2 linked regions of the Ovis aries genome follow. The protein of the gene in region 1 interacts with the protein of each later gene in a pairwise test. Links are inferred from orthologs where the notes say so. Each region holds a gene or a part of one and is shown on either strand. Other genes may lie near its edges.

Region 1 (3,500 bases):
AAATAGTGCATAAATGTAAAAAATATTTCCTAAGTCAGTGAAGGGATTATAGAAACTGTGTCTGTGATATGTGTACAGATATATCTTAATGTAGCTAGTTCTTAATGAAAGAACCTCTGCCACTGGCTAGGAGTGAAGAGGATGCCTGGTCTGGTTTTTCCCAAAGAAGATAAATTTCTTGCTTTTATTACATAACCTGCTCTTGGTATTAGTGATTTGCACTTCTAAAATCCATGCTAGAAATACAGAGAACAAGTTTGTGAATGCAAACTTTATTTTCCTCATAGAAGGACTCCCCTTGATCCGAGTTTAATTAGACACAGTTATTTAACTTGAATTATTTTTGCTTATTAATATAGAAATGCATTTTGATTACCTAGTGACAGTAGACCTGAATCCAGAGCAATGAATGAATGGGCTCCAAATCCCAGTTTTGAGTCTTTTCCTTTTTATGGTTCGCTTATATTCTAATGATTTAACCCCTTACTGCCTTTTTTTCTAATTAACTACTGAAGTCTTCCATCAATTTGCTGGCATTTCTTGGAAATATAAGTAACATAATTAAGACAGTGTAAACTGGAATGCATTTAGAATTAGATTGTCCTCTCTCCAGGATTTGCAAAGATGATGTATGAAATCACATTTGCCACTTACAAAGCAGAACTTATATTTGAGTGTTTAACAGGTTTATTGAGCCATAGTTTACATACCATAAAATTCATTTACTGAAAGTACACAATTCAGTGATTTGTGGTAAATTTTTAGAGCTGTGCCGCCTTCAGCATAGTCCAGTTTCAGAACATTTCCGTAACCTCCCCAAATTCCCTTGGACATTTTTGTATTTAATTGCAAGCCCCAGCCACAAGGAACGACTGATCAGCACCTGTTTATTTTAGCTTAGCACAGTCTAGAAGTGCTTCCGTGTTGTAGCATATATTAGTATTACGTCCCTTTTTTGTTGCTGAATAGTATTTCATTGTATGGATATACCATGTTATGTTTATCTGTTCGCCTATTGGCAGGCATTTGAATTGTTTTCTGTCTTTGACTCCTAAAATGCTGCTATAGTTGTGTGCAAGTTTTTTTGTGTGTGTGTGTCTCAATATATTGGATAGATTCTAGAATCAAATTGATTATCTCCTTTAAGCATAGGAATTCTATTCCCTTTTTGCCTATTTGTCTTCTGTAAAGTAAGGTATTGGATTTCCTCCTACCCCAAAACTTCTTCATTTCTTTCCTTTTTTCTCCATTCTTGCCCAGGGAGCACAATACTTGGGAACCTGAGAAAAACTTGGATTGCCCTGAGCTAATTTCTGAGTTTATGAAAAAGTATAAGAAGATGAAGGAGGGTGAAAATAACAAACCCAGGGAGAAATCAGAAAGTAACAAGAGGAAATCCAATTTCTCAAACAGTGCTGATGATATTAAGTCCAAAAAAAAGAGAGAGGTAAGCTTCATTTCTCCTCTCCTTCCCCCCCACCCCCCACTCTTCTGCTTCCTGTGCTTCCTCCTCGCTTCACCCAAAAAAGAGGGGCACTGTTTTGGTTGTTTTTATTCTAGGGATGGCCTATACGGTAAATTGTTGAACACAGGAGCTCCCCGGGGAGTTTTGTTGATCCACTACAGCGCCCCCTCCTGGCTGAGTAAGAAATGTACTATGTGTCCACTGAATTGTGTCAAGGTGGCAAAATTAAATCCCTGTAAAACATTCAGCCACTCAGTGCCTTTTTTGTGAATAGGTGGCTGAGTTGTCTTATGGAGAGTCTTCAGTGAATTTTTTAGGGATAGAAAGAAGCTTTAAAATATCTACTACTTCACTTTTTTCTTTTATTCCAAAGAGAGCACTTAACTTTAACCCTTTATATTCTTTCTTTTTTAACCAGGTGAAAACACATAACATACAACTAACCATTTTATTTTTTTTTTTAATTATTTATTTATGGCCACACCAACACATGTAGGATCTTAATTCCCTGACCAGACTCAAACCCATGCCCCTGCATGGGAAGTGCGTAGTCTTCACCACTGGACTGTCAGGGAAGTCCCCAGTTAACCATCTTAAAGTGAACAGCTCAGTGGCATGTGTAGTCTCTCTTGATCCTATTGTATTTTTGCATTCTTCAAATAAATTACTTTTCATCTTCCTTATGAATATTTTTATTGTTCAGTTTTTGAAAATGTGTTTATGAAACTTTGGTTTGATTCAGTTATTTTAATCCTTCTGATATATAGCTGTTAAGTAACTAGCCATAAGCACTGTTCCTGTCTTTTTTTTTTCTTGTCTATATCTTTTCCATGTGTGCACATGTGTCTCCATCACCCCCCACAGCTTCCATTCCTTTCATTAATTTCAAGGTTGTGAAGTCTTTTGTGGTGAAGGATATATCATACCCTTAAAGTTTAATAAAATAAAAGTGTAAGTCTGCTTCTGAATCTTCTAGCATCCCTGCCATAAGCATCCATATTTATCTTCATTCTCCTTGGATACCCGTCTTGCTAGAGCATTAGTTCTCAGCCCTGGCTGCATATTAGACTCATGGCAAGGGGGGCAGGCGGGTGTTTCAAAAGCCTCCAGTATTGCTGTGGAAAAAGAAGCCTCCGGTGCCCAAGATGCACTCCAGACCAATAAAATTCAAATTTCTGTGGGTTGGACCTATGCGTTAGTATTTTCTAGAGACTTACACAGGTGATTCCTGGTCTCCAGAGGAGAGAAAATGGGAGAACAACTTTCCAAAAAGAATTGAAATAAGAATGAAAGATTGGAGGCTGTCAGTGAAAGTGGACGCTAGTATTTTGTTTGTTTCCCTGATTAATTTTATTTTTTGCAATCTTATTTTTTAAAACTCCCCTGTTCTGGTGAGGTGTGTATATCATTATGATATAGCATACTAGTAGATAATTTGAAAATGCCTTCCCTTCTCTAAGGAGCTAAGACTTGGGTCTGTCTTTCTGTTTTACTTTTTTATTAGTCCTTTGTATTCTGGTTCTTGTCATTTGATGCATTTTCCAGCTAAGTAAAGAGACCAAGAAACAACACAGCATGACTTCTGTAGCCGTTTTTGACATTCAGTGTGTATTTCCTCAACCTAACGTTTATGTCCTTTTAAAAAGGAGCAGTCTGGGGGTGGGGGGGGGGGAGGAGCAATCTGACTTTGAGACACTGGCCAGTGCAGAGTTTGGTTCCTAGGCCAGGATGCTGGCCTTTTGATGCTGCTGACCTTGAAAACCACCCCCACACACACATGTCCCTTACATTGTAATGTTCATCTGGGGCCCCTGGCAGCATTCTCAGCAGTGCTGATGGCTGTCATGTAGGCAGCTGGTAAGATAGGTGATTGTATATTTTAAAGGTGCAGGGGGGGATTTCGTTTCTTTCTTTAGACCACTGCAGAGGAAATTTGTTAGTCGGCATTATGCCTGATTTAAGATTACTGCCTGTGTGATGATTTTAGCATTTTCCTCGCCTCGGCTCCTTTTCAGCTGCTTGAACATTTTTCTTC
Region 2 (4,240 bases), on another chromosome or scaffold:
ACAGTGACTGCAGTCATGAAATGAAAAGATGCTTACTCCTTGGAAGGAAGTTTATGACCAACCTAGACAGCATATTAAAAAGCAGAGACATTACTTTGCCAACAAAGGTCCCTCTAGTCAAAGCTGTGGTTTCTCCAGTAATCATGTATGGATTTGAGAGCTGGACTATAAAGAAAGCTGAGTGCCAAAGAATTGATGCCTTTGAACTGTGGTGTTGGAGAAGACTCTTGAAAGTTCCTTGAACTGCAACGAGACCTCACTAGTCCATCCTAAAGGAGATCGATCCTAAGTGTTCATTGGAAGGACTGATGTTGAAGCTGAAACTCTAATACTTTGGCCATCTGATGCAAAGAACTGACTCATTGGAAAAGACCCTGATGCTGGGAAAGATTGAAGGCAGGAGAAGGGAACGACAGAGGATGAGATGGTTGCATGGCATCACTGACTCAATGGACATGAGTTTGGGTAAACTCTGGGAGTAGGTGATGGACAGGGAGGCCTGGCATGCTGAGGTCCATGGGGTCGCAAAGAGTTGGACACGACCGAGCAACTGAACTGAACTAAACTGAGCAGCTACAAACTCAGGCTGTCACAGATGGGTTCTATTGCTGATTCAGATTCAAGTGTAGCCATTTATGCTGTGATTTTCCAAAATGGCAAACAATTCTCAGCAAAATTCCAAACTAAACAAAATAAAATCTTCCCTCCGTATACACAGGCTTTCCTGGAAATGTCGGGATTAAAACTGTACTTGTAAGTTTGTGCTTCTACATAAAGTAGATTCAGGTTCTGTACTCAGACAATCACAAACCTATTTTTACCTACATGAATGTCCATGGAGCATTCTGACAATGATGGGGAACAAAGGACAGTTTTTCACTGAGCAGGACTATCTGGTTCTGAGCAAGACAACTGATACCCTTGGGCCCACCCTTATCTATGTTTATTAGAAATGGACCATTCTCCCACAGTGGAATGTAAGCATCTTGAGAGGACCTTTGCCTGTTTTTTTTCCACAGATTTATCCTAAACTATAGGATACAGAATAGACTGGAACTGGCAGGGAAAAGCCATGAGAAGGAAGGACTAGGATAACAGGATTTTAGGTCTGATATACTAGCAACGTAAATGAAGTATAGTTGAATAATCAACTAAAATGTTTAGGAAAAACAACAAGCTCTTTCGACTCAACAAATATGTGAAAATATTTAGCAGCCAGTTAGATGTGCAGGCCTAGAGGCGGATTTCTCAACTGCAGTTGGATGCCTGAAACTTCGGGAAATTTACATTAAAAATAAGGGATGTAACAAAGAAAACAGAAAGATGAACTGAAAAATAAAACCAACAAAACAAAAAGGGATTCAGAAGCCACTGGAGGAAAGCGGCAGAGTGTTTTAACAAAGAGGTTGGCAGGACTGGAGAGAATTCCTTTAGCAGAACAGTAGGACAACAACCTGGTTGGCATGAATTTGTCCTAGGTGGACAGGTGATGAAAATGTAGCCCAGTAGCCAGTAAAAGGGGAAAGCAAACAAATTTTTTCCCCATTATTTCAATATTTTTGAGAAATTGCTGTGCCAGGAGTAGCTGTACAGCAGAATGGTTAGGATACATGGGCTTCAAAACCAGATACATTGGATTCTATTGCTGTTCCTTAATTTAGCAGTGTTGGGCTTCCCCGGTGCCTCAGCGGTAGAGAATCTGCCTGCAAGGCAGGAGCCGCCTGAAGCGTAGGTTTAATCCCTGGGTCGGGAAGATCCCCTGGAGAAGGAAATGGCAACCCACTCTATTATTCTTGCCTGGAGAATCCTATGGATAGAGGAGCCTGGTGGGCTATATAGTCCATGGGGTCGCAAAGAGTCAGACACAACTGAAGCGACATAGCACACACAAATGTTACAGTAAAGAGGTTCTAACTCGACTGCGCTTGAGCGCCCCCATTCGGAAAGTCCATGGGGTCGCAAGAGTCGGACACAACTTGGCGACTAAACCACCAAACCGCACAGCTGCTGGCACACGGTGTGGGTTGTTTTTCTTGTTTCACTATAGTTATTAGATGCTCAGGTTAAATTCTGACTTTGCCCACTCAGCTGTCAGAGCGGTGGAGAAAAGGGAAGGGGGCTCTTCTGTAAGTCACTGAAGTCCAGCTAGTCTGTCAGGGACTTTATGACAAGACTGTCAAGAAATGGACAGTCTCGGGGCCAAGATGTCTCAGAAGGAAAAGCCCTAGTGATTAGGTCAGAAAGAGCACTGGACTTGGAGCCAGATAGACCTGCGTACCAGTCACCCAGTCTCAATGTTCTTTTTTTTAAAAAAATCTTATTCTTAAATAGGGCTTCCGTGGTGGCTCAGACGGTAAAGCGTCCACCTGCAATGCGGGAGACCTGGGTTCGACCCCTGGGTTGGAAAGATCCCCTGGAGAAGGAAATGGCAACCCACTCCAGTACTCGTGCCTGGAAAATCCCATGGACAGAGGGGCCTGGCAGGCTACAGTCCTTGGGGTTGCAAAGAGTCTTTAACAGGGACCACACTCCCTGACCTCACATGGAGCGTTGCTCAGAGTTAGATGATTCCAATGAGAAGACTGTTTTGCACCTGGAACAATGTAGAAATTCCACAAAGGTGCTCAGTTCCATAAAACCGGCATATCTCAGGACAGGAACCCAGTTCATTTTGCTGTCAGGACGCACTCTCTGAGGCCTTGGGGGTCAGCAGAACAGAAAGAGTCGACGTAGAATCTCCCAGAGGGCGCTGATCAGTTTGGGCTCCCTGCATTAGTAACCTCCTGGGGACTCCTGCTGCAGACCTGAGAACCTGGCCCTCTGTCAGGCGTTACCTAGCAACAGCGTCCTGGAGTCTGGCCCAGGAGGCCAATCAGCGTGGACTTCGTTATTTCAGTGATGTAAACAGTCCAATCACTGGGCATTGTCAGAAGACACGTCCTCAAGCTAATCTCCGCAAGCACCAATGGGTTAGGAGTATTAAGAGCTGGAGCTAAATATTTGGAGCTGGCTCTTATTTGATAAGATCATCTGAAGGAAACGAATGACTAGCTTCCGACTGTATTTGAATGATGGTTGTGAAGGCAGTCGCCGCCATATTCTCTTAGGGCATTTTCCGATGCCTTTGTTCACTGTTGAGTCCTAGAGTGACCCACGACGCTATGATTCCTCTGTTTTGGCCGCAGCTTGGCCCCAACTTGTAGCCAGATCCGGGCCGACTCAGACGCCGGGTCTAGCAGGGCAGTGCTCCTTGGCTCGGAAAAGAGAGTGGCCCTTGGATTGGGGCATCCAGGACTTGGGGACTGGAAGAATTCAAGCCCGCCGCACCAGCACCGTTCCGCAGTTGAAGCCCAGAGCCTGGATCCCGCCAAGGAGGCTGTGAGCTGTTTAGCTTTACCGCCGCGGCAGAGTTAGTCTTGGAGAAGTGAAATCTGAGGCGCAGAAGGCTCTTTACCGAAAGTGATGTAGAGACCTATGGCCACCTGGGGGCACTCTGTGAGGGCCTTTCGTGGTCTCCCTTTATTCGTCTATTCACAGAGTACCTAATTAAGCGAGTTCTTAGACGGGAGCCCCAGAAGCGGATTACTCAAACCGGGCAAAATGCCCGAGGAACAGGGGGCGTAGTGAGCTGAAGCTTGGGGAGGGGCTGTCCTAGAGTGTCTACGAAGCCTTTTATAATTATTTACCACGATCATCTTGCTATGTCTATGACTGCTGCTGCTACTGCTAAGTCGCTTCAGTCGCGTCCAACTCTGTGCTACCCCAGAGAGGGCAGCCCACCAGGCTCCCCCGTCCCTGGGATTCTCCAGGCAAGACATAGTTTTGTTTTTTAACGGCTTTATTGAGATATTATTCACACACCATATAATTCACCCGTTTAAACTGTACAATTCAATGGTGTGGGGTGTTTTTTTTTAGTATATTTAGAGTTATGAAACCATCACCACAATCAACTAAGCACATTTTCATAACCCCAGAAAGAAACTCCTCAGCTATCACTCCTCATTCTCTCCTCCCTCAGCTCCTGGCAACCCTAATCTGCTTTCGGTCTCTGAAGATGTGCCTTTTCTGGACACTGCATGTAAAGGAAATGTAAAAGATTTTGTCAAATTCTTTTTGCACATCTGTTAAGATGATTTTGTGGTTTTGTCTTTATTGACACATGATGTATTACATGAATTAATTTTCAGATGTCATGCCAACCTTGCACCCCTGGGCTAACTCCCATCCAATCATGGTA

Evidence for each region. The genes of interacting proteins can lie anywhere in the genome.
Region 2: the proteins of CBX5 (region 1) and PRR14 interact in binary tests that used the Homo sapiens proteins (3 or more experiments, as listed by UniProt). The two-hybrid records come from large-scale screens. The link is inferred for Ovis aries from reciprocal best matches to the Homo sapiens genes CBX5 and PRR14.

Annotation. Positions count from the first base shown.
Region 1 is NC_056056.1:132,289,499-132,292,998, forward strand, and holds part of CBX5 (chromobox protein homolog 5), read left to right. Parts: intron 1-1,260; coding exon 1,261-1,447; intron 1,448-3,500. UniProt on the Homo sapiens protein: Component of heterochromatin that recognizes and binds histone H3 tails methylated at 'Lys-9' (H3K9me), leading to epigenetic repression. In contrast, it is excluded from chromatin when 'Tyr-41' of histone H3 is phosphorylated (H3Y41ph).
Region 2 is NC_056077.1:27,281,351-27,285,590, reverse strand, and holds the start of PRR14 (proline-rich protein 14), read right to left. Parts: upstream 2,801-4,240; 5' UTR 1-2,800. UniProt on the Homo sapiens protein: Functions in tethering peripheral heterochromatin to the nuclear lamina during interphase, possibly through the interaction with heterochromatin protein CBX5/HP1 alpha. Might play a role in reattaching heterochromatin to the nuclear lamina at mitotic exit.